4 linked regions of the Elephas maximus indicus genome follow. The protein of the gene in region 2 interacts with the protein of the main gene of each other region in a pairwise test. Links are inferred from orthologs where the notes say so. Each region holds a gene or a part of one and is shown on either strand. Other genes may lie near its edges. The genes, in order: WASHC3, TXLNB, CEP57L1 and LURAP1.

What was found.
Region 1: the proteins of TXLNB (region 2) and WASHC3 interact in binary tests that used the Homo sapiens proteins (3 or more experiments, as listed by UniProt). The two-hybrid records come from large-scale screens. The link is inferred for Elephas maximus indicus from reciprocal best matches to the Homo sapiens genes TXLNB and WASHC3.
Region 3: the proteins of TXLNB (region 2) and CEP57L1 interact in binary tests that used the Homo sapiens proteins (3 or more experiments, as listed by UniProt). The two-hybrid records come from large-scale screens. The link is inferred for Elephas maximus indicus from reciprocal best matches to the Homo sapiens genes TXLNB and CEP57L1.
Region 4: the proteins of TXLNB (region 2) and LURAP1 interact in binary tests that used the Homo sapiens proteins (3 or more experiments, as listed by UniProt). The two-hybrid records come from large-scale screens. The link is inferred for Elephas maximus indicus from reciprocal best matches to the Homo sapiens genes TXLNB and LURAP1.

What each region holds. Positions count from the first base shown.
Region 1 is NC_064822.1:168,413,145-168,420,828, forward strand, and holds the start of WASHC3 (WASH complex subunit 3), read right to left. Parts: upstream 3,020-7,684; 5' UTR 2,921-3,019; coding exon 2,870-2,920; intron 2,300-2,869; coding exon 2,201-2,299; intron 1-2,200. UniProt on the Homo sapiens protein: Acts as a component of the WASH core complex that functions as a nucleation-promoting factor (NPF) at the surface of endosomes, where it recruits and activates the Arp2/3 complex to induce actin polymerization, playing a key role in the fission of tubules that serve as transport intermediates during endosome sorting.
Region 2 is NC_064819.1:209,102,584-209,109,734, forward strand, and holds the start of TXLNB (beta-taxilin), read right to left. Parts: upstream 3,002-7,151; 5' UTR 2,973-3,001; intron 527-2,972; 5' UTR 513-526; coding exon 80-512; intron 1-79. UniProt on the Homo sapiens protein: Promotes motor nerve regeneration. May be involved in intracellular vesicle traffic.
Region 3 is NC_064819.1:174,987,484-174,994,954, reverse strand, and holds the start of CEP57L1 (centrosomal protein CEP57L1), read right to left. Parts: upstream 3,019-7,471; 5' UTR 2,668-3,018; exon of another isoform or gene 1,461-2,667; intron 1-1,460. Other genes in the region: SESN1 (sestrin-1), read left to right, coding at 4,135-4,413. UniProt on the Homo sapiens protein: Centrosomal protein which may be required for microtubule attachment to centrosomes.
Region 4 is NC_064821.1:88,831,302-88,839,141, reverse strand, and holds the start of LURAP1 (leucine rich adaptor protein 1), read right to left. Parts: upstream 3,016-7,840; 5' UTR 2,913-3,015; coding exon 2,715-2,912; intron 1-2,714. UniProt on the Homo sapiens protein: Acts as an activator of the canonical NF-kappa-B pathway and drive the production of pro-inflammatory cytokines. Promotes the antigen (Ag)-presenting and priming function of dendritic cells via the canonical NF-kappa-B pathway.

The sequences.
Region 1 (7,684 bases), on a different chromosome or scaffold from region 2:
TTTCAAGTTAATAGACCAGAGATGGAATCCCAGCTCTGTTACTTTCTAGCTGTGTGGCTGTGGGCAAGTTATACAGCAGCCAGTGATGAATGAATGAATGAACAAACAAATGAATAAATGTCTAAGCAAATGATTTAAGCCTTTCTACAGCTCAGTTTCTGTGTAACTGGGATACCTGAACCTCTCTCAAATGGCTGGGCTGTGATGATGATCACGTAAAGCACTTAGTACAATGCCTAATACAGAATAATCACATGATAAATATTAGTTATTGTCTTTACGGAAACCCTGGTGGCATAGTAAAGAGCTACAGCTGCTAACCAAAAGGTTGGCAGTTTGAATCTATCAGGTGCTCCTTGGAAACTCTATGGGACAGTTCTACTCTGTCCTATAGGGTCACTATGAGTTGGAATTGACTCGACAGCAACAGGTTTGGTTTTTTCCTTACTGTCATCACATTGAGCAAACATATCTATAACTGACACAATTATCCAAACCTCTAAAGTGAATTGTAAAATACGACTTACAATCAACCACAGGTTATCATCCTTAGGAGAAAGAGGCAAACTACTTTAAACTTATTGAGTTTTTGGTCAATAAGCTTTTTCTCAGAGTTCACGAAGAACTAGGAAGTAGTGACATAGCCAAAACAGTTGGGGGAGAAGCTGAGAGAGGAACAGATGGGGGAAACTTGTGAAGCATGAGGCTTAAAAGCAATCAGTAAGTAAGTGATGATTATTGTTATCTTTGCTTTAGCTGTCAAACAGACAACACTCTCCAGGCTTTGAAAATTGTTAGGTACTACAATGAGGAGGGGTTATCCCTGCCTTAGAGCAGCTCAATCAAGTTGCTTTCACAAGAGTGTTTACTTCTTGTTTTGTTGTTGTTTATTCTATTTTTTAATCTGGTGATGAAGCATATAGGGATGGAGTATCTGCTCCTCTCTATTAACAATCCTGAGATACTCCCCACCTAGATACTTCACCCTACTCTGGTATAAAAAGTGAAGGGCTAAATCCTTGGCTTACTGCTTTTTATTCAGTCAATTCTATCTCCAATTAGAAAGGCACAGTACAAAATAAAATACATGGAAGCAAGCACCTAGGCTCTGGACCTGCTGTTAGATAAAACACACTGTTTTGATCCCCTGACTCTATCAACTGGCATATCATACCATATTTTATTTTCTTTTGTCTTAATGAGACGGTAAAAAGATTTTGATAAGTAGGCAAAAACAACAGCAGGAATCTTATCCGCTGAAAACAGTTTTCCTATCTCCATAAAAATTGTAGTAACAATAATACATGTAACACTCTACTAGCTAAGGCTATTTACCTCATATGAAACAGAATGAACTTCAAATTGTTTAATCAATCAACTCACCTAACTATCTAAGCCCCAGTGAATTATCTAATCCCCCTGATTTACCTCTCTCTCTTCTTTCTTAAACTTAATTTCAAGCCATGTTTCCAATTTGCCTTACCCATCTTTTTTTTAAGAACAAGAATCCCTGGATTTGGTACCTACTCCTTAATCTGGTACTTAATCCTCACTTACGAGTTATCTGCAGAAAATATTCTTATTTCCATAATGACATCTGATGCCAAAGTTAGCTTTCTAGGCTACCTCTCCAGGGCATCTTTTGGATCAAACCAAACCAAACCTGTTGCTGTCCAGTGGATTTAGATTGATGGGGACCCCACAGGGCAGAGTAAAACTGCCCCATAGGGTTTCCAAGGAGCAGCTGGTGGATTTGAACTGTTAACCTTATGGTTAACAGCCAAGCTTTTAACACTGCACCACCAGGGCTCCAGTTTGGATCAAGGAATGTAAAACAATTTGAAAATAAACTGAAACAATATATACTTAAAAATGTAAATATCTGGGTAAGAGCACATGTAACAAATTTCAAAATCACAAGTGTTTTCAACTATGAAATCTTGGAATTCCTTTTATTCTCTTTAATCACAATAAGCTTTTTTTTTTTTAACCACAATAAGTCTTACTGAACTATCTTCCAAAGACCTTTAAAACACTATTCAGCAGAGGTGGAGTGCAGGACTGACTTTAGCTTAACAAAACAACTGGGTGACAAGAGGCCAATCTGAACAGAGTGATTCTTCTTTAACTCCATTTGCCATCCTCAAAAAAAGCAAAGTGATTTCTAGGCTACTCTATAAACCAACATCACAGGACCTACCTCCTCACAAATTGTAGAAAAGTGGTTGAGGAACTGTACTGTGTGCACCACAAATTGGTTTAGAAATGCCACCGTTCTTTTCTGTTGAATAGCTGGCACCTGTGTTATGTAAAAACAAACATGATTCGTACCGGAGGAACGTACACAGTGCAATTCCTTTGACATATGGGCATAGGAACAGGGCGTCTTGCTGTGTGATATGAGTTTCTTGAAGTATTGACAATCGTCATTAACTTGTTTTCATAAACTGTGAGGTGGGGGGTCCGAAGACGATAGAAGCTACATAAAATTTTGAGAATTGACTCCGGATTCACAAATTTTACAGGTAAAGGCAACACAGGTAAACACACAAAAACACGTGGGGGCCGAATCAAAGAGGTAGGGTTAAGAGGTCGCAACGGGCCCAAGTCGCCAGTCGCTCGTCTCCGGGCACAGAGACACGTTACCCGGGAAGCGAAGGCTGGGAGAGGCACAACATCCCCTTAATCAGCTCTGGAGGGACCCCTTTTCAAGGTGAAAGGTGAAGACTCCCTCCCGAGGCCAGCAGAAGAGGGGCCCGGGGCCAGGTACAAGGTGGGGCCTGGCGAAGTGGGGTCTTTCTGGGAACGGGGAGTCCCTTCCTCGTCCTCCTCCCCGGTCTCCGGAAGTTCAACTCCGTCTTTTACAAACCTTGGTCAAGTCTATGCCCGACCCCATGAGAGGAAGCCCGTCCTCATCCATCTCCTCAGCTGGCGGGGAACCCAGGGCTCTCTTCCAGACCCCTCCCAGACAGGGCCCGCCCAACCCGGTAATAGCGCCCAGACACCTCCACAAATCCCCGCCTCCTCAGCCCTTCCGCCGGAAGAAAATGCCTCCGCTCGCCAATCACTCGGCGACTCCCCGCGAGCCCGCCCCTGAGCTCAGCATTCTGGGATTGGTAGTTCTAGGTCCAGATTGTGACGTCAGACTGGGGGCCGCAGGGTTGAACCAGGCTGAGGTTTTGGTGGTAAAATCTTGAAAAGGGGGCCAAAAAAAAAAAAAAATCAGGAATTGCATTCTTACAGTGATCTGGAAAGAGCTTTGCACTCTTGCACACTTAGAAATGAGAGGTGGAAGTGAAGATGGATAGGATGAAGAATACTTTTAAATGCTTATCGTTTCATTGGTTTTTTTGGGGTTCATGTCCATAACTAGTTGAGTATCATCGAATATTTTTAATTGTTGTCTTTCAGCAAATCTGTTGAGTCCCTCTCATGTTCTAGTACTCTACTGGGACTTGTTAGGTGCTGTCAAGTTGATTCAGACTCATAGCGACCCCATGTACAACATAATGAAACACTGACCAAACACTGTGTGGTCCTGTGCCATCCTCACAATCATTGCTATAGTTTTGAGCCCATCGTTGCAGCGACTGTGTCAATCCATCTTGTTGACCGTCTTCCTCTCTCTCTTGCAGACTCTCTACCAAGCATGATGTCTTTCTTCAGGGACTGGTCCCTCCTGATAACATTTCTAAAGTACATGAGACAAGTCTTGCCATCCTCACTTCTAAGAAGCAGCCTAGCTGTACTTCTTCCAAGACAGATTTATTCATTCTTCTCGCAGTCCGTGGTATATTCAGTATTCTTCACCATCATTCAAATGGGTAAATTCTTCTTCGTTCTTTTTCATTGTCCAGCTTTCACATGCTTATGAAGTGATTGAAAATACCATGGCTTGGGTCAGATACACCTTAGTCACCAGAGTAACATCTGTGATTTTTAAGATTTTAAAGTGGTCTTTTGCAACACATTTGCCCAATGCAATATGTCCTTCGATTTCTTGACTGCTGCTTCTATGGGCATTTTTTGTTGGTCCAAGTAAAATGAAATCTTTGACAATTTCAGTCTTTTCTCTATTTGTCATGATGTTGCTTATTGGTCCAGTTGTGAAGATTTTTGTTTTCTTTATCTTGAGGTGTACTGCATACTGAAGGCTGTAGTCTTTGATCTTCATCAGTAAGTGCTTCACATCCTCTTCACTTTGAGCAAGCAAGGTATCATTAGCATAATGCAGGCTGTTAATTAGTCTTCCTCCAGTCCAGATGCTGCATTCTTCATATAGTCCAGCTTCTCATATTATTTGCTCAGCATACAGACTGAGCAAGTATGGTGAAAGGATACCATCTTGACGCACACCTTCCCTGATTTTAAACCACACAGTATCCCTTTTTTCTGTTCAAATGACTGCCTCTTGGTCTATGTACAAGTTCCTTAGGAGGACAATTAAGGGTTCTGGAGTACTGAGACTACAACTATAAATAAGATAAATAGTGTGACAGTTGTAGGCAACTGTATTGTTTTGTCTTTTCACCTTGATAAGGTCTACATGAGCCTAAATTTTTCCATTAGACTGTAAATTCTTTGAAGGATTTTCTTCATTTCTTATGACTCCTCAGTTAGTACCAGCTGCTCTGCTTTGCAATGAAAACTCATTAATAATTTTAATACACAGTTTTGAGGTTCTACTATGATCCAACTATGGTATCAAGCACTGAAGATTCATCCACCCATCCATTCTTTGAACAGATGTTCCCTACAATGTGCCACCAAAACCAAACCAAACCCACTGCTGTCAAGTTAATTCCGACTCATAGTGACCCCGTAGGGTTTCCAAAACTATAAATCTCTATGGAAGCAGACTGCCACATCTTTCTCCCACAGAGCCACTGATGGTATCGAACCGCTAACCTTTCAGTTAGCAGTGAATCACTTTAACCACTGAGCCACCAGGGCACTATGATATGAGTTGGGAATACAACAGTTAACAGAACACACAATTCCTGCCTTCACGTAGATAAACAGAAAATAAACAAGTTAACAAACAGATACTAAGTTGTCCAGGAAGAGAGACAGAAAAATGAAAAAAAAAAAATTTAGTGTGATAAAAACTAGGCTAAAATACGCCCCAAAGAGGAGCACCTAACCCAGGCTGGTGAAATTAGGGGTGACTTCCTGAAGGAGTTGATGCATGAGCTGAGTTTTGAAGATGCAAACATAAGCAAGATGAAGAAGATTGGGAGGAACATTCCACAGAGAGTATCAACATGTGTGAAGGCACTGATGTTTGAGCCCCAGAGACCTACATTTCCCCTGTAAAAGCGCCCCTCCGTTGGTTTCCACCCCATCTTTAATAGGAGCAAGGATTCCCACTGAACTCGTTCCAGAGCTCTGCTTGCTCCTGGCGAGTCCTCACCCTTTCCTCCTCCACTATCACTCTGCACTTTGAGGTCATCATAATTATTCCTGGACTCCTAAGTTATCTCTCAGACTTCCAACCTCATATTGATTTCTACAAGCCTTTTCTTGCCTCTCACCAGCTCAACAAATCCTTTCACAATGCCCTCTGGAACTCAGTCATTAGCAAAATCCCCATTTTCTCAACGTCTTCTTTGACCATTCCTCTCTTTCTGCTCTAACTTGCCTGCTTATTAAGGATACTGCTTCCTGTGCAGCCTGTAGTTGTTTTCTTGCCCACATCCCTGAATCATTAGTTTAGGAGGTGTTTTCGTTCATCCTCACTGCTTCCATACCATTGCTTTTCCTTCCCCTAAAAATGCCCCACAGCTCTGAGTTCATGCTATCCTATATAGAAAGATACCTTGTAGCATCCCTCTACAGACCTTTAGGTCACTGCTACTCTTTCCTTGGAGTCCTTACTTTTTGTCTCACTGCCACTGTTTATAACACTATTATCATAACTTGTGGGATTTCAATATCTGCGAACATAATCTTTCTGGTACCTTGGTGTCATGGATTGAATTGTGTTCCCCCCAAATATCTGTCAATTTGGCTAGTAGGCCATGATTCCCAGTATTGTATGACTGTCTATCATTTTGTCATCTGATGTGATTTCTCTATGCGTTGTAAATCCTATCACTATGATGTTAATGAGATGAATTAGTGGCAGTTATACTGATGAGATCTACAAGATTAGATAGTGTCTTAAGCCAATCTCTTTTAAGATATAAAAGAGAGGAGCAAGCAGAGAGACATGGGGATCTCATACTACCGAGAAAGCAGTGCCGGGAGCAGAGCGCGTCCTTGGACCTAAGGTTCCTGCGCAAAGAAGCTCCTAGACCAAGAAAAGGTTGATTAAAAAAAAAGACCTTCCTCCAGAGCTAACAGAGAGAAAAAGCCTTCCCCTGGAGCTGACACCCTGAATTTGTAGTTGTAGCCTACTGGACTGTAAGAGAATAAATTTCTCTTTGTTGAAGCCATCCACTTGTCGTATTTCTGTTACAGCAGCACTAGATAACTAAGACACTTGGTCTCACAGTTCCTTGAACTCCTGTCCTTTAGTGCTCTTGTCCTCCATTTTCTTATTTCAGCCACACTCACTCTTCCATGGGCATTCTCCAGAACTTTTCATTGCCAAATATCTTCACTCTCTCCATAATCTTAATTTGAAGGATCCACTGTCTGGTCGGTACTTTCGATCTTTTGAGCTCATTCTCTCTGTTATCTTGACTTTAACAGTTCTTCGAGCCATCACGAGAAAGCTTTTTCACTGTACCATAACCTCATTATATCCTCACTTCCTTTTTTACCCAGTTTAGATCTTATGATTCATTATAATCACCCAACAAACTTTTCCCTCCCTCCCTTCATCATACTTACCTGGCAAAAACGTAGTAAATGGAATGTTCTGTCTCTTCTGTACCAATTGTATACAATTAATACCGGTTGGCCTCAACCAGACCCTGTTTCACTTTAAATTCATGCTCTCTTGAGGTTATACCGTCACAAGCTCCCACTGCCACATCTCTTTTCAACCCACATCTGAGCCCTGAAACCTTGCCTTTCCTACAATTACTATGGATAATCTCTCCTACTATATAAAGCCAATTCCTCTATTTGTGTACTAGATACTATTCCTTCTCACCTACTTGAGAACAAAACAAAAACATCACTCCAATGATTGCCCCCACTCTCTCCTCTATCGTCAATGTTTCCCTTTTCGTTGGATCATTCCCAGCTGAATACGAACATGCTATTATTTCACTGGTCTTAACATAAATGTCTTGACTCCACTTCCTTCCCTTTCCAGCTACCCTTTTCAGAAAGATTCCTCAAGATTGTCCACCATCACTCCCTTCGATTTCTCTCCTCCCAGTCTCTCCTAATCCTACTCCAGTTAGCCCACTATGCCATAAAAACTGGTGATCTCAAGGCCACCAATAACCTTCATAATGCTAAATCCTTTGATCATTTCTTTCTTCTTATTTAGCTTGGATAAGCAACATGTGACAAAGTTAATCACCTTCTCCTGCCTGAAAATTTCATTTTCCTTCCAGGATATTACTCTTTTCTGGTTTTCCTTTTATCACTCTGGCTACTTCTTCTCATTTTCCTTTGGCTGGTTTCTCCTCATTTTCCCAACCTGTAATGTTTTTTACATTTATATATCCAGCCCAAATCTCACACTGGAAGCCAGTGTGGCTGAAGCAAAGTGTACAAGAAGGGG
Region 2 (7,151 bases):
TAGTAATGGTTGGAGGAAGTACCCCTTATAAAGAAGAATTAAAAAAAGGAAATTCATATATTAGAACACAACTACTTGCCTAATCCTTTTAAGATTTTCTTTTCCAACTTCTGCTCTTTATTGCTGACAGACTCTTTGGCTGCAGATGGCTCCCCAGGAGCAGTGGGTTCTCTTTCGGTCTCTTCAGTGGTTTCCTCATAGTCCCCATCCTCGTTCTCAGGCAATTCTGCATTTTCAGGCTGCTCCTTGGCTTTGGCAGCACCCTCTTTCCCTGTTGTGCCCACAGCAGACCCATATGTGTTTATGATGTCTTCCAGTTGTCGATTCAACTCTTCAGAGATATCATGAGCTCCCTTTTCAGGTTGCACACTTGGTTCTTTCTCTGATGCTTGGAGTGGAGTTGAGAACTCCTGGCCATCTGGCTTCTCTGGGCCATTTTGACCGGGTAACGATGAGGAACTGTCCTCTGGAAGTGGTTCCTCTGAGACTTGTACAGGTTGATTAGTCTCCATACTTAGAGTAGTATCTAGTGGTAAACACAGTTAGGGTTAATGTAATTAACCCAGTTAAATGTAAATAGGCTATCCCCAAATGGGTGTCTATTAATTACTATTTCTAACAAAGAACGAATGCATTTTCATGAACAATTGAGACTACGATCAGTAAGGTAGGAACAGCTGGAAGCTATTTTGCCAAATCAAGTCATACTACCAGCACATTTTTGGTTTTGGCCTTTAGATTACAGTAGTGTTCCCTACTGTTAACATTAAAAGGGTAATCCATGCTATTGCTCATCATGGCTGTATTTGTCATTTGGCTTGGAATAGTATGTTTGTGGTCATCCTTATCTTATAAATTCTATGTAGAGTCGCAGCCATTGGAAGTAAATGGACATATATATTTAAAATATTTCAATTAAAATGGTGTATATATATTTTTAAAAGTCAAAACATTCAATGTAAGAGCCATTGGACTTACTAAAAATCATTCATAATAATAACATCCCTAAACTCTATTTTGGAAACCCTGGTGGCGTAGTGGTTAAGTGCTACGGCTGCTAACCAAAGGGTTGGCAGTTTGAATCCGCCAAGCGCTCCTTGGAAACTCTATGGGGCAGTTCTACTCTGTCCTATAGGGTTGCTATGAGTTGGAATCGACTCGACGGCACTGGGTTTACTGGAAACTCTATTTTAACCCGTAAATCAAAATTGGATTAATATGAATATTTTGATGTAAATGCATTGTAATATTGGATATATATGTTCTTGCTTTTCTGGTATTTTCTTTTTCCTGGATAAGTAACATATAATTACCGATCAGCAAACAGTTTTGCTGAGGCTCAAGCTAGCATCATTTTTGGAATCAGGCGGAGCATGAAGGAAGGTATAAATAAGCAAACCAACTAGTATGGAAACATGGTGATGCTCATCATAATTATTCCTTGAATTTCTATAATACCTTTTGTTCCTACATAAAATATGCCTTTCTTTTAGAAAAAAACAGATCACTTTCTCTATTCAGTCAAGAAGCACTAGGATACATTATTTAATTTTATGAAACAGCTATGTTTAATGACTAAGGAGGGAATAAAGTAGGGAAGAAATCCAGATATAATATGGGCTCTTAGGAAATAAGGGTGAGGGACAAGATGAGTTAAAGATTCCAGCATTTCTGAACGAGGTTGCGATGGACTTGGCTTAGATCTTTAAGCTATGGTACATTTGATTTGTAAATGATACTTAACTGTGAGACCGCTAATTAGCAGCATAAAAACATGGCGGGATCCTCAAAATGCATACGTTTTGCTGTTGTGGTAGCACAAGAAAGAAAACACTGATCTACACACTGCACGGCTTCCTTCTCCCACTCTCAGCGCTGTAGATGTCAAAGGCTTGCACGCCAAAAAGAACAGAAAGTTCAACACACAGACTATGCCACCCACCTGTGGCACTCAGCAAGTATTTACTAACTTGGGAGGAAGTACATTTTCCTTCCACCCATTTGAATTCACCAACTTTATTACCAAATGATGCAGTAAACAGCTTCATTGCCTTCATCACTGGAATTTTCTTGATTCTGACCTCTACTTGTTGGGTACGTTCATCTATATATAACTTATGCCTGCTACCACGCTCCCCCACCCCTCCCTCCCAAACTTGGAGAAAGACACATGGCACCTGCTGTCCAGCCAGAAGTTATTTTAAGCTCTTCTAAAAGGAGTCATGATGTTTAGCACTCTATCCTTGAAAATCAAGGGAAGAGAATAATTTTTATATCAATTGAATACTGTAAACATGCACAGGCTTAAGCCTATGTGTGGGTTTTAAAGTGTTATGGAGGTTGTCTCAGAACGAAATAAAATTTAGAGTAATCCAAACATCAAAGCAAGTAATAAAAAGCCTGCAGTTCATAGGAGTTTTAGGTGTGGTTAGTCTAAATGCAAGGGCTTTATTTGTATTGATTTGTTTGTTATTCATCAGAGGCCGTAATCATTGCTGTTTTTTTTTTTTTAAATAATGAATTCCATGAATATCCTTCAATCTCCTGTTCCACATTTACCTTAAAACAATAACGGAGTCACTGCAAATTATTGGACAACATAACTCCTAAAAGTGGTCTCAAGATAAATCAAAGACAGGAAAAAAAAAATTCAAAGGCACCTTGTTACTTTTAAATCATCTCTTTCCTGATTAATTTTACAGCAGAAAGAAGTATTTCTAAATTTTATCATATGCAAACTTCACTCTCTACTTCTTTTTTTTTCCTCTGAGAGAATTCTTCACTTGTATTGGCAATCCCAGCAGATTCTTACACACACATCCCTGCCTGAGCAACACATTTTAATGATAAATAAAACAATGGAAAGTTCTTCAACAGTTCACTGGCAGTCTCATAGTTGCCAGTTTTGAACAACACAAACCGCACCCCGCATCTTCTCACAGAGCTTGAGGGGGGGTGTTTATCATACTTACCGGAAAGCCAGGAGCTAAGGAGAAAGAGAAAGGAGAAGAAAGAGGCAGCAAAGAGCAAGTCAGAGCAGCAGCAGCAGCAGCAGACAGGAGGCAGGCCACGTTTTTACAAGGGAGAGAGAAACCAAAGACACACACACACAGACACACACACACAGACACACACCCCACGCTGGCAGCAGACAGGAGGGGGTGGGGAAAGGAGCATTGTATGACACAGCAAGAGAGAAATACACCCAAGCTTCAGTAGGCGTCTCACGGGGAAATGTCGTAGAAAAGAGAAGCAGCCGGTAGATCTTACAAGATCCTCCATGTTTTGTCTTTTTAAAAGTCTAAACTGTGAGTCTATAATGGCCCTTTTGCTAGTGTAATTTTTTGCTATTGTTGTTCTTTGGGGCAGAGATCAGTTTTTCTTATTTCTTGGTTTATTTCCACCGTGGTTTATGATTCATGTTTCTTTTTTTTTCCTACCTTCTTATGCTAGCCTCGTTAGTGTCAGGTTTTTGTAGGAATCGTGGGAAAAGAATAACAATGGCATGGCAAAAATGAGATGGCAGGACCACTTTGATTCTGATGACATTGTTCGGTTTGTTCGTAAAATTTGAGAGACAAATTTAGATGGGTATTTTAGAACCATGTTTAATGTTGTCTTCATGTTTATAATTTGAGGCCCCCCTGGTTAAGCCAACTTGAAGGCACCTAACATCAACAACAACAACAACTGGTAAATGGCATGATCTCAGATCACATTGTCTAACTCAGGTAACTGTTCTCATCTGCGACATGCCCTCAGGGAAGCAATCTGCTTCTTTCACCTTAGTGGGCAGCTTTCCCACCTTCCACAGCAGCTTTTCCAAGTCTTACCCACCCTTCTCAAGTCTTCAGTCTGTTCCTTCATCCTCCTTAGAAAAAGAATCTCCTTTTCATTCATCATAAAATGCCTCTCTTTCAACCTACATCCATTCCCTTTTTCTTTCTGTTTCTGGAGAAAGTGTTCCCACACTTTTCCAAAGCACATCCACCCAGATTTTTTAAAACAGATCCAGAACAGGAACACTGGTGTTCCTGTTTTGGGGACCAGATGGGCATAGTGACACCCACTGTGGTAGGCAGAATAATAGCCTTCCCCAAAATACCCATATCCTTATCCCTGAAACCTGTAAATACATTACCTTACATAGCAAGAGGGATTTTGAAGATGTGATAAAGTTGTTGTTAGGTGCCGTCGAGTCGGTTCCAACTCATAGTGACCCTATGTACCACAGAAACATTTCCTGGTCCCATACTATCCTCACAATCATTGTTATGCTTGAGCCCGTTGTTGCAGCCACTGTGTCAATCCATCTCATTGAGTCTTCCTCTTTTCCACTGACCTTGTACTTTACCAAGCACAGTGTCCTTCTCCAGGGACTGATCCCTCCTGACAACCTGTCCAAAGTATGTAAAACGCAGTCTCACCATCCTTTCTTCTAAGGAGCATTCTGGTTGTAATTCTTCCAAGACAGATATGTTCATCCTTTTGGCAGTCTATGGTATATTCAATATTCTTTGCCAACACCACAATTCAAAGGTGTCAATTCTCCTTCAGTCTTCCTTATTCATTGTCTAGCTTTCACATGCATATGATGTCATTGAAAATACCATGGCTTGGGCCAGGTGCACCTTAGTTTTCAAGGTGACATCTTTACTTTTTAACACTTTGAAGAGGTGCTTTGCAGCAGATTTGCCCAATGCAATGCATCTTTGATTTCTTTCTTGACTGCTGCTGCCATGGCTGTTGATTGTGGATCCAAGTAAAATGAAATCCTTGACAACTTCAATCTTTTCTCCATTTATCTTGATGTTGCTTATTGGTCCCACTGTGAGGATTTTTATTTTCTTTATGTTGAGGTGTAATCCATACCGAAGGCTGTGGTCTTCGGTCTTCATCAGTAAGTGCTTCAAGTCCTCTTCACTTTCAGCAAGCAAGGTTGTACCATCTGCATAACACAGGTTGCTGCTGAGTCTTCCTCCAATTCTGATGCCCTGTTCTTCTTCATGTAGTCCAGCTTCTCGGGTTATTTGCTCAGCATACAGATTGAATAGGTTAGTGAAAGGATACAACCCTGATGCACACCTCTCCTGAATTTAAAACACTCGGTATCCCCTTGTTCTGTCCGAACAACTGATCTATGTACAGGTTCATCATGAGCACAATTAAGTGTTCTGGAATCTCCATTCTGTAATAAAGTTAAAGATCTTAAAATGGAGAGATTATCCTGGATTATCCAGGTGGACCTAATGCAATCACAAGGCTTCTTGTAAGTGAAGGGTCCTCATATGTAATACCAGAAGCAGAGGATGGAGTGATGCAACACCACAAGCCAAGGAATGCAGACAGCCTATAGAAACTGAAAAGGCAAAGAAGTGTATTCTCCCCTAGAGTCTTCAGAAAGATCGCATTCTTGGTGACACCTTGATTTTAGCCTAGTAAAACCCATTTTGGATTTTTAAACTTCAAAACTGTAACATAAATTGTGTTATCTTAAACCACTAAGTTTGTGGTGAACAGGTATAGCAGCAAAAGGAAACTAATACACCCGCCCTCAAACTCTTTTCCACCCTTTTATGTTTGCCCACACCACACTGAAAGAACAGAAGAAGTTTTGGTGAAGGTGGAGAAAAGAGAGAAAGAATACTATGGGATAATAACACTCTGAAGTTATTCCAAAAGGTGGTCAGTATTGCCAGTAGAAAGGTTATTTATCTTGTAGGTGGTTTACCCTGAGACTACATGGGAAACAGTACTTTCCTTTTCTTCATGCCTGTGCCTTTCAACACTTCCTCCCATGCCTAGGACCTGAAGGGGCCTGTTCTCCTTTTTCCCATCTAGGTCCAGAGGAAAGACATATGAGACCCTGAAACTGGCAAAGTGGCTCAGAAGCCTAAAAGAAAAACCAAAAGGGCTCTCTGGAAACTGAGAACAAAAATAAACATCCCTTGTGCACTGTCTTCTGTGCTTAGTTTGTGTATGTGAACATCTAGAGCGGCATGGTCCAATCGAAATAGAATTCAAGCCATGAATGTGAACCACATATTCAGTGTTATGTTTTTAGTGGCCACCTTAAAAACGCTGGAGTCCCTGAGTGGCACAAGCAGTCAACATGCTCAGCTGCTAACAAAAAAGTTGGAAGTTAGAGTCCAGCCAGAGGCATCTGGGAAGAAAAGACTTAGCAATTTATTTCCAAACAAATTAGCCATTGAAAACGATATGGAGCACAGTTCTGCCCTGACACACATGGAGTTGCCATGAGTCAGAATTTTTTTTTAAAGGTAAAAGAGAGAACTGAAATTAATTTTAATAATATATTTATTTTATCCAATGTATTTAAAATATTATCATTTTGACATATAATAATGCAAAACTTATCAATATTATATCTTAGATTCTTTTTTTTGTATTAAATCTTCAAAATCTAGTATATATTTCACATATGCACTACATCTCAATTGAAACTAACCACATAACATGTGTTAAATAGCCACATGTGATGAGTGGCTACCATATTGGACAGTGAGGATCTTGAGGCAAACTTTTTGGTACTGGACATCATCTTGTTCTTTCAAATAATAGGGGTGAGGGTTCTATTCTTAATCCCATTCTCTAAACATCTTGCCCTATCATTTATTTCCTATAAATCTCATTATTCAGTTATTCTCTCTTCTTGGCTTGACTCAATCTCCAAAAATGATGAAATCTCCATTATCATTAAAAAAAAAAAAAAAAAACTAACGCACACAAAAATGTTGTCCTTCATTTCTTCTTTCCTTTGTGCTGTGGCTGGAGACAGACTTCCTGAGTTTGAAACATATTTCTACCACTGACTACTGTATAAATTTGAGTGGATTACTTAAACTCTGTGTCTCAGTTTAGTCACTTGGTAAATAAGGATTATAGCTATACCCACCTTTTAGAGTTATTTTGAGGATTCACTGACCCTTTCACATACCAAGCACTATAACTCATTGCTTCATCACAAAAATTATTTAAGGAATATTTATGCTAGTTTCCTCTACAGCCTCTCACTGCAGACCTCTGTATCTGCCCTATCCACCTAAGGAAAATGTACGCTTGAAGGTTACCAATGGCCCACTTGCCTAAAACAATGGTCTTTTCTTGATCTCTAGTCTTAGTTTTCTTTC
Region 3 (7,471 bases), about 34 Mb from region 2:
TTCTGATTAAGATGAACTAGGAAGAATGGCCTGCCAATCTACTTCTGAAAACCAGCCAATAAAAACCCCACAGATCATGATGGTTCAATCCACAACTGATGATGGATATGATGCAGGACCGAGTGTTTTGTTCTGTCATGCATGGGGTTTCCATGAGTCTGGGCTGACTCCATGGCAGCTAACAACTCAAATGTGTAGGCATGCTCCTGCCCACAGGCCTTTGCATTGGCTGTTCTCTTCACCTGAATGTTCTTCCCCCTAGCATCTTCAGATCCCCTCAGATGCCTCCTTCTTGGTTAGGTCTTCTCTGATTACCTTATTTAAAAGTGAGCCCCACCCCCACAACCCAACACTCCCTATTCCCCTTCTCAAGTTTTTTCTTCAAAGCATTTGTCTTCTTCATTTGATTCACTATACATTCACATATTTATGTATTGTCTGTCTCTCCCTAGTAGAATGCAAGCTCTCTGGCAGAAGGCAAACACTTTCACTTGGCTTCTAGGCCACTACACTCTGCTGCTGTCAGAGCTATATTCCCTGGGTCCTGTTATATAGTAGGTATTCAACAAGTATTTGGATGGTGCTAAAGCAGATAGGGAAGGCAGTTCAAATCTGCCAGGGGTTCCTTGGAAACTCTACGGGGCAGTTCTACTCTGTCCTATAGGGTCTCTCTGAGTCAGAAATGACTCGACAGCACTGGGTTTGGTTTTTTTGAAAGCAGAGAGAAATGGGTGGATTTGAGGGATATCTGGAAGATAAGATTGACAGAACTTGCTAACAATTTCGCTATAGAGATATGAACAACAGGAAGGAATGAAGGATGATGCTTAGCTTTCAAATTTTCACAAGTGAATGGATGGTAGTGGCCTTTACTAAGATAGGGAACACTGGAAGGAAACCAGATTCACAGGGAATAACTGTGTATTTGGTTTTAAGCATGCTGAGTTTGAAGTGCTTTTAAGATACGTGAGAAAAAATATTAAGGAGATAACTGGATATACGAAAGCTGAGAGGTGAACCTGGATGGAGCTATACATTTGGAAACCAAAAACCAAAAACATTTGGACGTCATCTGCAATAAATAGGTACTGGTGAATCCATGCATATGGTTGAGATCATATTCAACTATGGAGTGAAAAGGGAAGCTAGCCTTGAGAAACCACCTTACCCTTTGTGGGCTGGGTAAAGAAGGATGAGCCCACAAAAAAAGCAATGTTTTTTTGTTTTTAAAATCACACTTAAAATAATAGCTATAACCATTTTTATTCTGATTTAAACCAGTAGCATTAGAATCCTTCCAGGCTTGCCAAATTACACCAACTCATTGGTCACTTTGAGAAACTACCTGAAAATTTTACAGTACCTGTCTTTCTGCAGCTTCAAAATATATCAATATACAAAAAGCCATCCCTCCCAAATTATGTGATTTGGCTTATTGCAGTTTCTTTAAAGTTCCATACCTCTCTCGCTTCTGGGCTTCAGCATATGCTCTTTCTTTGGCCCCCAATTCCCCTGGGAAAGAGACTCCACTGCACCTTGGTGGCGCAGTGGTTAAAGCCATCGGCTGCTAACCCAAAGGCCAGAGGTTGGAAACCACCAGCAGCAGCTTGGAAGAATGATGTGGCAGTTGGTTTCCGTAGAGATGTACAGCCTCAGAAACCCTATCCCTATGGGGTCGCTATGAGTCAGAATCGTTTCAACAGCAGTGGGTTTGGTTTGGTTTTCGACTTCCAAGACTTGGCTGGGTGGCCCTCTTTCTAGACACTCCAAAGATAACACTATTACATAGTTCTGTTTTTGTTTAGGTAGGGACTGTGTCTCTTTCACTGTTTAGACCGTGCCTACAATGTTAAATTTTTAGAACTGGATCTGTTCTGCAACGTGAAAAATTAATTCTAATCTTATCAGTTCATTGATGGGCTTTCAAACCCCGACTTTTCTCAAGTGGCATGACTTTTTAAATATGGTCTTTTTTCCCCCCATATGGTCTCGTTAAAGCCTGCAAGAATTCTTATCATCTACGAATGTTGGAGATTGTTTTTCTTTTAGTCTCATTCGAAACGGATTTCACAAGTCGCTTTCAATGCCCTACTTGGGATTCATTTGAAGACTATCTCTACACAGAGGTAAGCTTAGGCTCGAATGCACCCAAAACCAAACCCATTGCCATCGAGTCGATTCCGACCCATAGCGACCCTACAGGACAGAGTAGAACTGCCCCATAGAGTTTCCAAGGAGCGCCCGGTGGATTCGAACTGCCGACCTCTAGGACAGCAGCCGTAGCACTTAACTACTACGCCACCAGGGTTTCCGCTCAATTGCACGGGGGTGTCTGATTCATCCCGCGCATGTTCACTACAGAGGGCAAACGCAGGGACAGCTGCGCGGAGCATCCGTTTTCATTTCATCCTTTTTGCATCTTAAAGAAGGCCGCTCACTCCCAACTTCGGGATCGCGACCTCCAAATTCTCGCCTCACCACGCGCAGGAGCTTAGACACCTGGACTAGTACTTCTTACTCAGGTCACTGGAAAAAGTCCCTGGACTGTCTGAGCAGCAGCCTTGGATGGCTTCGTCTCCAAAACCCCAGAGGAAAAAGGAGGAAGAAAAAAAAAAAATCTTGTCAAAGAAAGCCAGGAAAGAAAGCAGCCAAGCCTACAGTGCTCACCAAGCCGACGATCCAGTCAATCCGCGCTGCCTAACCGTTGGCTTGTAGGCCGCCACAGGCAAAGTCGCGGTGGTCCCTGGGGGTTGTAGTTTCTGTCGCAAACAAAACACCCGCAGAATAAAAACTACGTTTCCCAGAAGTCAACGCGAGGACACCCTGCCTCCTTAAATCGGGGTTCGGGCTAATAAAGAGGCCGTTACTATTTTTAGACAAATCTTAAATTTAGCCTGTTTCTTCCAGGAGTGCTCCGTGTCGTCTTTCTTTACCCTGCTTGTCTTTGATAAAGTTTCAGCGTACTTAATTTTTTCCCCTTTCTCCACTCCAACACCAAACGTCTGACAACAGAAAACGAACCGTGAAGAAGCTAAGTGCCTTTAAGGCGCATGCACCGTCCTTGAGGTTACGCATGCGTAAGAACCGGCAGCCGTTGGCGGCCGCGCGCGGGCTTGGGGTCCGGAGGTAGCAGGGCGAAGGGCGGGGCTTTTTCCAATGGCTTTTTTTTGCCTTCGCGGGTCGCGTCTGCCTGGGCGGGGAAGAGGGCGCAGGGGCAGGGGCGGCTCCTGGTTTGTGCCGGGCGGAGAAAGGGGAGGGGCTGGGGGTGAGGACCCCATCTCCCCTCCTTGCTCCCGCCCTTTGGGCCGATCCCCACCGATGGGGCTGGACGAAGGGGCGGGTTCTGTGCCTGGGGCTCTGCCGCACCGCCAGCTCTGCGGCCCAGCCCGGTGCGGGGCAACCCTGTGCTGGTCTGGCTTGGCGGGCGGTGGGCAAGGGCGCAGGGATCGGAGAAGAAGCGGCGTCTTCCTGAGGGTCGGGAATCGGCGGGGCCGAGGGCGCTCTCCTCCAGTACTGCCTCGGAGACTGCATCTGCAGAAGACACCCGCCCCCTGGAGCGCTCAAGTCTCCGACCGCCGCGGCCCGTGGGCCAGGGCTCGGCGAGTCGTCCCCGCTGGCGGTCAGCGGGCCGCTGGGGCACAAGGAGGAGCTGCGGAGGGCGGGGACTGGTGCCGGAGAGGCGGGGTGGGAACGCTCCGGTGACCGCCGTGCCTGCACTGACAAAAACCCCCGAATGACTGGAGAGTGTTCAACTGGTACCAGCCTTTCTGGGCATAGCACGGATTTGACAGCTCCACGTCGTGAGGATATCCGCTGACCCCGCGAGACGAAGGACAGCACTTCCCCGAGAGTCCCTCTCCAGCACAGCCAGCGCCGTAAGGTTGCAACCTTCCAACTTTTTTTCCCTTCAGTCTTTGACCAGTGTAGAACCAGAGGGTGAGCTCTGTTTTGTAACTCGGTGGAAATCATCCGTATAAGAGACAACCGGTTCCAAATGTCACCCGAACGTGCGTTTTCTTGACGATTCGATTTCTCTGATTTTACTCTTACATTTCTGATTTAAAAAATAAAAACTGCTTTTGCAGACATGGTGAAAGGTAACTGAAGATTGAAAAAGAAAAGCTCCAAGTTGACATGGCTGAAGGAGAGAATGAAATGAGATGGGATGGACTGTGCAGTAGAGATTCAAGTACCAGAGAGATAGCACTGGAAAACATTAGGCAAATAATTTTGAGGAAAACCGAGTATTTTCGTTCCGTTAAAGAGACACCACATCGTCCGTCACACGAGCTTTCAAATGCTGTTTCTTCGGATGGGTTGAATAAACTTCTTGCTCATCTGCTCATGCTTTCTAAGAGGTGTCCTTTTAAAGATGTAAGAGAGAAAAGTGAGTTTATTCTGAAGAGCGTCCAGGTAAGGAAAGCTTTATAAATAATGCCGTCTATCTAGTACACCAAAATTTTACTTGCAGTTATTCACTTTGTGTTTACTTCTAATACGTCGTCATGATGTAAACTCTAATCATCTTAAAATAGAGTTTTGGGTTAAAATTGGAAAAAAATGAACTAAAGTAAAAAGCAATTTTCAAATATAAGTAAACAAAGTATTGTCTTTCTAGAGAGTTTTAGGCAGAAACTGCATTCCTCAAATATATGTGATAAAAAAAAATTTTGTGTGTGTGATAGTTACAGTTAATTGCAAGTAAAGACTTGGCTTTTCCTGATATTAACTTTTTCACGTTGTTGTGAAGCAGAGCCAGTGTACTTTTCCCATTGTTACAAACAGTGTTCTGGGTGGGAAGTGTCCCATATAAAAACCTTCAAAATGATAAGAGGATATTCAATGTTTCCTAGTCTGCTTGTTCAGGATAATTGCTGAAACAATTTTCTCTTGTTCTTAAAAACAAAACAAACAAAACACAGGGTGTGTTCTCTAAATGTAAGCTTTCCTTTTTTAAAAAGAATTATATAAAAAAAAAATTAAAGCCCATGTTATAAAGGAATTCAAAACCCAGGCAGGATATATGATGGGAACACTTTTATGGTAAATTACTCAGCCAACTTTCTCTGTATTTGCCTGCATGTTTTGTTTATTTTTCACATACATATTTATTTAAATTGTGAGTGCAGCAGATTAAAAATATTTAGTTTTCCCCATTTCGTACATTATTTATTAGAATTTTTTTTTGCAAAAGGTTGCCTTTAGATACTAAGAATGTTCGGTAATGTTGTTTATATATGTTTGTCAATCTATAAGTTACTTAATCCACAGGTGTTCTTCAAAGTCATACTATGAAAAATTTTTTAAATTTATAATTTACTTGGATATATGTAAACTAGGAAGCCCTGGTGGTGTGTGGTTAAGTGCTACGGCTGCTAACCAAAAGGTCAGCAGTTCGAATCCACCAGGCGCTCCTTGGAAACTCTATGGGGCAGCTCTACTCAGTCCTATAGGGTCGCTATGTGTCAGAATCGACTCAACAGCAGTGGGTTTGGTTTTTGGTTATATGTAAACTAAGATGAACAGTTTTCTATACTGGCTTGAATTTAGTTTAAAGCAGCAGAAAAATAATCATTTCCATAAAATTAAGACTCTATGTAGATCTTGGAATATTTCTTCCCAAGAACAATTTGGAAACAATCATTGTAATTTATTTGTCCAGAGGTACCACAGAGAAATTAATTTTCTAGATACCTAAAGTCTACCCTCTTAGGCATCAAAAGTTATTTCTCTGGCCCTAGACTGTAGTGATGAAACAACCTTTTTTTTTTTTTTGTAATGGGCTCATCATGATGCACACCAAGCACTGTTGTAAAACAGAAGGTGGGGTGTATAGGACTGTATGACCCTACACTGAGAAATGCCATCTTGATATATTTTTTGAATTTTTAAAGTTTTTCAGTGCCTTCTCTTTCTGTCTGCATACTTCACTTTGGTCTTTTCCTGAATCATTTTCCCGCATATTTATATTATTAGGCTGGGAAACCAGATAATCAGTTTTGTTAAGAGTTATTTGGAAAATAGAAATATGTAGGTTCTGAAGGGAGTACAGGGCCAAAGATCTGTGATATGTAGTGGTAAGTGAGTACCAGAGTCCCTGGGTGGTGGAAACTGTCAACAAGCTCGGCTGCTAAACGAAAGGTTGGAGGTTGGAGCCTACCCAAAGGAGCCCCTGAAGAAAGGCCTGGCAGTCTGTTTCTGAAAAATCAGCCATTGAAAACCCTATGGAGCACAGTTCTACTCTGACACACATGGGGTTGCCATTAGTGAGAAATGACTAAACAGTAATTTTTTTTTTTAATGGGTACTAGAGTCAGACATACCAAAAACCAAACCAAGCCCAGTGCCGTCGAGTCGATTCCAACTCATAGTGACCCTATAGGACAGAGCAGAACTGCCCCATAGAGTTTCCAAGGAGCGCCTGGCGGATTTGAACTGCTTACCTTTGGTTAGCAGCCGTAGCACTTAACCACTGCACCACCAGGGTTTCCAGAGTCAGACATACCTAGTCTCAAATTCTGCTACTTTCGCTGTGAGTCAGAATCAACTTGATGGCAATAGGTTTTTTTTTGTTTGTTTTTTTTATTGTACTAAGGAACCCTGGTGGCACCATGGTTAAGTACTCGGCTGCTAACTTTTCGGTTAGCAGATCGAAGCCACCAACTGCTCTGCAGGAGAAAGATGTGTCAATCTGCTTCTGTAAAGATTACAGCCCTGGAAACCGTGTGGGGCAGTTGTCTTATAGAGTCACTATGAGTTGAAATCAACTCAACGAGATACAACATTAATGTACTATGTAATCTTGAGCAAGTTACTTGACCTCCCTTAACTTGGAATTCCACATCTGTGAAACAGGAATAACAATATAGAGCAAAAAAAAAAAAATAGTGAGAATTAAATGAGATGTAAAGTGCCCCAGCATATGGTAGATGCTCCTTTCCCTTTTCTTAAGTAAAATGCATGAACTATATGATATTTATTTTAAGACTCATTAATCCTTGAAAAAGATTCAAGAGTCTCTTCTACTGTGAAGGTTTCCTATAGATTTATACTCTTTTTTTCATCTTTGTATTTATTGCACCTTATTCCTGCCACAATTATAATAGATGCTTTCGTTATTATGGGGTAATCACATGCTTATGTGTCTGTCTTTCCAGTCAGGGCTGTGAGTTCTCAAGAGTATTGGCTGAGACCTGAAAGCTACTAAATAAATATTTAGTGGATGAACAAACCTGTATTTGGCTTCTTTTTGTTTCTTATCAGTCTCAGTAGATGAAGTTAACAGATTAGTGAGTTTCTGTGCCTACATCATTCATTCAACAAATATTTATTGAATCTCTGGTAAATGTCATTCTAAGAACTGGGGACCAGTGGTGAACAATTTTGACATTCTACTCCAGAGAGACATACCGTAAAGAAGTAAACAAAAAAATTTAATTTTAGATAATGAGGAAAGAGTTTCCTGAGGAGA
Region 4 (7,840 bases), on a different chromosome or scaffold from region 2:
TGCAGCCTCAGAGGCCACCCCAACTTGATTCTTTTCCAAGGGGGATTCAGGTTTCTTCTCTGAATCACCCTACCCCCTCCCCTCAACATGTACACATTAGACTCTCTACTCAGCCCTGGGATAACGGGATATGGCTACCTCATTGCTCCATCCAAATCAGACTCTAGGGTAAAAGCCTGGAGATCCCACTCCCAGCATCCTGGTTGTGGACTGAGATTCTCAGATCATTGTTACTAGAAGGGCCTTTAGAGAGTACCTAGTTCCAAAATCCCACCCCCTATTCCCAGAGGCAGAAAACTGAGGCTGGAAGAAGAAAGACAGGGTCCTGCTCAAGACCACAAAAGAATTCAGGAGCAGAGCCAGATCTCAAACCCATGTCTTCACCTTCCTGGCCTAAAAGCTTTTCCTCAAGCTGCTCTGTGGGGGTGGGTTGTCCTGGAAACAGTTCTTTGGGTGGGAGGACCAAGGGGATGTTGCCATTGTTTCTCCTTCCCACATAACCCAGACTTCAGCTGGTTCTCTCAACCCTTGAATAGAGATGGGAGGCATGAGGGAAGAGGCAGAGCTGACCTTGGCCTCAAAGGCAGGCCTGCTCCTCCCTGTAAGGACAGCTGGGAAGGGGTCAGTTGAAGGACAGTCCTTACAGGACTTGGACCAGTCCTGCCACCAGTGGCTCCAAGGGAAATCCCTCTGCCCCACCCCTTGTCCTCCCTGAGCCCAAGCCAGTGGTCACGGCAGAGTGCATGAAGGGATCAATGACACCCTGGCCTGAGGAGGGAGAAAGGATTGGGGTAGGGATTTGTGGGTGTCTATAAGGAGCCTCTCCCTGTTCTGGCCCTCAGAAGACTCCCTCCCTCCAGCCTCTGGCCAGGCAAAGTTAAGAATACAGAGAGACAAATCAAAAGTTAAATGTACCTCCTTTCAAGTTCATGGACAGTAGTCTCCAATACAGGCAGAAAAGAGTGATTAGGCATGGCTCCCCTGCTGACTTCCTGCCTGAGCTCAGGCAAGCTGCTTAATATCTCCAAGAGAGTTTCCATAGCTGTGTGACAGGGAAAATGATGACTACCTTTCTCACTTCAATGACAATGTGTTTAAAGCATGTGACACAAGGCAGGTCTCAATGTTAAGATGTAAAGTGTAGTCAGACCACCTGGGTTCAAATCTTGGCTCTGTTGTTTACTTTTTGTATGACCTTGGGCAGTTATTTCACCTCTCGGTGCCTCAGATTCTTCATCCATAAAATATCGCTTATGTAATAGGAATGCTGTGGGGATTAAGATAATATCTCGTAAAGTATTGCATGATTCCTGGCACATGCACTCACTGAAAGTTAACTTTTATTTGTAGGATAAGGCAAAGCCAGCCCTCCCCAACCCCCAGCCACCCTGCGCCTCAGGTTAGCAGAGTCAACCTTCAAGGCCAAGTGCACCCTTGGCATTCAGGTCCTTCCCCCAGGGAGCCTTCCCTGACTGCTCCGCCCACAAGGCTCTCCTATCCTCTCAGGAGGTAAGAACCCTAACTGGTCTGGGAGCCCTGTGATCTCCTCCCTCCATCCCTCACAGCACAGCCTGGCACACAGTGGGGCTCCAGGAAGACTTTTTAGCTGACACACTCACTGTGGGCTCCTGGTTCTGGGCCAGGGACTGGCCAGCAATTTCTCAGATCCCTAAAACTAGCTGCAAAGTGATGGCAGGTGTAAATCACCACCTGCTCAGGAACCAGGACCCTGGGGAGTCTGTGAGGAGTGGGGGGAAGCGGGTAGCTGCCCTTTTGGCTCTGAATCTAGACCAGCAGCACCAGGGATGAGGGTGCCTGTTTCCTCATCTTCTCCCCAGGGAGACACAGATGGGATCCAAGTATCCAGTGTACCTTGGGGTAGGAGACTGAGTCAGAGGTGAGGGAACAGACACTGATGGTGCTCCTACTCTGTGTCTGTCATGGTTCTAGGAACTTTCAAATATTTCAAGCGGGAAAGGGGGAAGTGGGGACATTGGGCAAAGGGAGGGAGAATGTTTTTAGTGCTCCTGGTCCAGGCAGTTTTCAGCAGATATGCCCTCACCCAGATCTCTTCGGTGCTGAATCCTGTCCTCAATACTGGAGCCTCAGATGAACCAAACCCCTTCCCAGTCCTCAAGAAGCTCCCAGTTTGGAGAGGGAGAAAAAAAACTGGATGTCCTATAAAGGGGGCTGAGGTGGAAACAGGTGGTCCCTGTGTGGATTTGTGCTCTCGTAGGTTCTCAGTGGAAACCCTGGTGGGTAGTGGTTAAGTGCTACGGCCGTAAACCAAGAGGTCCGCAGTTCGAATCCACCAGGCGCTCTTTGGAAACTCTATCGGTCAGTTCTACTCTGTCCTAGAGTCACTATGAGTCACTGTGACAGTGGGTTTTTGTTTTTTTTTTTTAGGTTCTCAGTAGCTTCTCAGACTTCATTTTCCCACTCCCATTTATTTGACAGGATAACTTCCTAGAGTCTGTGCCTCCCACCCCAAGTCCTCAGGACCCATTAACACCCCACTTACCCTTGCGGGGGCAATTAATGGAGATCAATCCACCTCTGCCTCAGGGTTTGTGAAAAGACTTGGGTGGGGTCCTGAGGGGTAGGTGAGGGGTTTTAACTCGCTCCTCTCCAGCCCAACTCTGGGGGCATCAATCAGTCCTTTCCGGCCCTACACAGGATACTCCGACCCCCTGGCCCGTGGAGCCGACACTCACCAGCTCTATCCTCAGCGCCATGATCTTGTCCCCCAGGCCATGGCCCGTGCTAGCTGCCCCCGGGAGCAGCAGGGCGCCAGGGGTCCCTGGCTCCCATTCGCCTCGCAGCCCGCGTAGCAGCCCTTCAGGGGTCTTCCTGCCCACCTTGCCCTCCACGTCTCGCAGGTCAGGCTTCTGGGACTCCGCGGCCCCTTCCATCCGGACCCAAGCCTGAGCAGTGCTGGAGACCGGACGCCGGGGTCTTGTTCCCAAGGGACCGCCAGTCTCCCGCGCCTATGCGGAGCCGACCGGGTGGGTCCCCGCCCGCGCGGCGCGGGGGGCGGGAGGAAGGTGCCGTAACACTCAGAAAAGCTGCGCAAATCTAGGTATATATTCGAGTGCTGCGCACACAACCTCTAGCCCTGGAATGTGTCGAGCTGGCCGATACTGGATTTGTACCTGAAAGGGTACCTAGGAGAACTCCACGTCTTCTCCCTACTCGGGCACTGAATCCAGCCAGGGACACAGCAGGCGCGCAATAAATGCGTGCTGAATCAAGGCTAAGCATTCTCAGTCGGGGATGTGGAAGGTTAAAGGACAGCGGTAGCAGAGGGCTGCAGAGGATTTTGGAAGGCTTCCTGGAGCAGAGGAGCTGGGTCTAAAACTGTCTAGATTTAGCTAGTCACTGGAACACACACTCCAATACTAGCCCCGTGGCTAGAACTCAAGAGAGAAGGAGCAGAAATGAAAGCCCTCCCGGCCAGTGAGGAAGCAAACAGTGCTGAAGCTGGAGAGGTCCACATGGGCCAAATTATGCTGGCTCTTGTAAATCCGTCTTCTTAAATTTGATTGTGCATATGAATCTTCTATGAATCTTGTTCTGTAAGTGGTGAGGCCTGAGATTTTGTATTTCTAACCAGCTCTCAGGTGTTGGCCATGCCACTGGTTCACAGACCACACTTTGAGTAGCAAGGTTATGTTTTATTCTATGGGCAATGAAGAGCCACTAAAAACTTTTTTTTTTTTTTTAATTTGGCTTGGTTTTTTTAGTTTAAACCAAGAAATTCCAGTCTATGGTTATAAAAGGATTTACAATGAAAATATTACTCCTGCTTTCCTTTCCCACCTCTAGTCCAATACCCCATAGGCAACCACTTTCAGTTGTTGTTGTTTTTCTTTTCCTGGTGTTTAACCCATAATTCTAAACAGTAGGCTTATACTATTACTATTTGATTTTAAACATTGTCTACTGACTTCCTATTATAAATATGGATATAACTTATACTCTCTATTTCCCTTCCTCCAATGGTCCTTTATACTTCTATCACTATTTTTAGTTCATCTAATGGTTACCTTTGTGATTTTAAGTAACACTGTTCTTTAGACAGTGTCTCTTCATCCATGGAAGGGCTTTAAGTCAAAGATTGACAAAAAACATTTGTAGTTTTGAAAGCTTACTCTGGATTTCACAAGGAAAAAGGATTGAAGGGGTAAAAATCTGGTGTCCAGGAGGCCAGTTAAAAGATGAGAAACTGAAACAGCCTGGACTAGCAGACTGGTTGTGAGATTGGAAAGAATCAGACCAGAATGGGGCTCTTTAGGATGTAAGATTGACAGGACTTGGTGACTGGTTACATTCATTTATTTACGGTGGCATTCAATAAATATTAGTTATGTAGGAGAGGTCAGCACAACTAGACTAAACCAAAAGCAAAGAGGTTTCCTGAATATAACTGAACACTTCAAAAGGGCAGAGTAGCAGGGACAGGGCCCTGGGGACCATGTTTTCGGGGGACATCTAGGTTAATTGGCATAATAAAATGTATCAGGAAAATGTTCTGCATCCCACTTTGGTAAGGGGCCTCTAGGGCGTTAAACGCTAGCAAGTGGCCATCTAAGATGCACCAATTGGTCTCAACCTACCTGGAGCAAAGGAGAATGAAGAACACTGAAGACACAAGGTAAAAATAAGCCAAAGAGACGGAAAGAGCCACATAAACCAGAGACTACATCAGCCTGAGACCAGAAGAATTAAATGGTACCCAGCTACAACCAATGACTGCCCTGACAGGGAACACAACAGGGAATCCCTGGGGGAGCAGGAGAACAGTGGATGCTGACCTCAAATTCTTGTAAAAAGAGCAGACTTAACGGTCTGGCTGAAATTAAAGGGACCCCAGAGGTCATGGTCCCCAGACCTTCTGTGTGCCCCAAACCGGAACCATTCCCAAAGCCAACTCTTCAGACAGGGATAAACCAAAACCCAGTGCCGTCGAGTCGATTCTGACTCATAGCGACCCTATAGGACAGAGTAGAACTGCCCCATAGAGCTTCCAAGGAGCATCTGGCGGATTAGAACTGCCGACCCTTTGGTTAGCAGCCATAGCACTTAACCACTATGCCACCAGGGTTTCCTTAGACAGGGATAGGACTGGACCATAAGACAGAAAATGATACTGGTGAGGAATGAGCTTCTTGGCTCAAGTAGACACATGAGACTATGTGGGCAGCTTCTGTCTGCAGGGAAGAAAAGAAGGCAGAGGGGGACAGGATCAGGTTGAATGGACACAGGAAATACAGGGTGGAGAGGAGGAGTGTGGTGTCTCATTAGGGGGAGAGCAGTTGGGAGTATATAGCAAGGTGGTTTACAAGTTTTTGTATGAGAGACTGACTTGATTTGTAAACTTTCACTTAAAGCAAAATAAAAAAAAATTAATTAAATAAATATTTGTTAAAAGAACAAATAAGTTATTTCAACAAATATTATGGAGAGCCTACAATGTGCTAAGAGGCCTGGTGGTGCAACAGTTAAATGCTTGGCTGCTAACCAAAAGGTTGGCAGCTCCAACCCACCTAATGGCTCCTCAGGAAAAAGGCCTAGCAGATCTGCTCCTGGAAAAATTTTTGTGTGCCAAGAAAAGTGGGATACAGACCTCAAATTCTAGTAAAAAGACCAGATATAATGGTCTGACTGAGACTGGAGGGACCCCAGAGGTCATGGATACCAGACTCTCTGTTAGCCCAAAACTAAAACCATTCCCGTAGCCAACTCTTCAGACAAAGATTAGACTGGACTATAAGACATAAAATGACACTGGTAGGGATTGTGCTTCTTAGCTCAAGTAGACACATGAGACTATGTGGGCAGTTCCTGTCTTGAGGCGAGATGAGAAGGCGGGGGGACATGACTGGGTTGGATGAACATGGGAAATACAGGGTGGAGAGAAGGAGTGTGCTGTCGTATTGTAGGGAGAGCAAGTAGGGTCATATAACAACGTGTGTATAAGTTTTTGTATGAGAAACTGACTTGGATTATAAACTTTCACTTAAAATGCAATTAAAAAAAATTATTGTATGCCATCCAGTCAATCCTGACTCACAGTGGCCTTATAGGACTGAGCAGAACTGCCCCATAGGGTTTCCCAGGCTATAAATCTTAGTGGGAGCAAATCGCCAGGTCTTTTCTCCTGTGGAGTCTTTGGTGGGTTCAAACTGCTGACATTTCAGTTGGCAGCCAAGCACTTAACCACCGTGCCACCAGGGTTCCTTCCGTAAAGACACAGCTTAGAAAATCCTATGGGGCAGTTCTGTTCTGTCACATGGGGTCACTATGAGTCCAAAATCGACTCGATGGCACCTAACAACATATTCTCTACACTATACCCTGCAACAACACTATGTGCTAACCATTGTGTGTAGTGTAGAGAATATGTTATTGTGTGCTGCTCAGTTGATTTTCACTCAGAGCGACTCTGGGACAGAGTAGAGCTGCCCCCATAGGGTTTCCTAGGCTGTGAATATTTATCGGAGCAGATGGCCAGGTATTTTCTCTGAGCTGTTGTTGGGTTTGAACCGCTGACCTTTTGGTTAGAGCTGAGCACTTTAACCATTGTGCCACCAGAGCCCCCTGTGAAGAATATAGTGGTGAGCAAACAGACCTGGCCTGGGGACTGGACAGAGAAGGAGGAACCAAGGCTAACGCCCAGCTGTTTGGCCTGATATGATTCAACAAGGAAGGAAACCTAAGAAGAGGTCTGGGAGTGGGAGGAGATGATTTCAGCCAGAGTCATGAATTGGAGGGGCCTGTGGAAATGTCCTTGGGAGCTCTGGTGGTGTAATGGTTAAGAGCTACAGCTGTTAACTGAAAGGTCAGCAGTTAGAATCCACCAGCCGCTCCTTGTAAACCATATGGGGCAGTTCTACTCTGACCTATAGGGTCGTTATGAGTCAGAATCGACTAAATGGCAACGGATTTGGTTTTTTTTTTTTGGTGGGGATGCCTGGAGTCCCTGGGTGGTACAGTTGGCTAAGTGCCCCACTCTGAAAGGCTGGTGGTTTGAACCCACCTGGAGGATCTCAGAAGAAAAGCCTGGTGATCTGCTTTTGAAAGGTTACAGCCTTTAAAACCCTACGGAGCAGTTCTCTGCACACATGGGGTTGCCATAAATTGAATTCAACTCAACGTAACTGTTTTTTTTTTTTTTTGTCCAAGATGTCCAGCAGTTAGTTGACACATGGGTTGGCCTGGAGCTCAGGAGAGAGGTTAGGGCTGCAGTTATGAGTTTACAAGTCTAGGTGGTAATAGAGGTCATGAAAGTGGGTGAGATCGTCCATGGAGAATTTGTGAAAAGAGGGTTAGGTAGAAACCCAAAGACATCTTTTAAATATGTTAGTAAAAAGTGTTGGGTTTTCTTCTGCTCTAATATACGCTTATTAGAAAAAATCCACCGAATGCCTCAATTCCTAAAATAAGTTAACATTTTGCGGGATACCATCCCACCCTTTAAGAAGCCAGTAGAATATGAAGAACTTAAAAATATTATCACTGGTCTTCTGGCTTCCTCTAATGTCTCCTTTCAATCCATTAAAATAAAAATCAGGTTATATCACTCCCCTGCTTACAATTGTTCCGTGACCACCCATTAACTTCAAATAAAAACTTGTAAGAAATGCAAACTGCCACCCTAGCCTAGACTATTGAATCAAAACTTCTAAGGATTAAGCCCAGGAATCTATTTTAACAAGCTCCCCAGGTGATTCTGCTGCAAGTTAAAGTTGGAGAACCGCTGTATTAGTCTAAGTGCTTTGCATGTGTTTTCTCCTTTAACCTTCGCAACAACTCTCTAAGTATTACTATTGCCGGTATT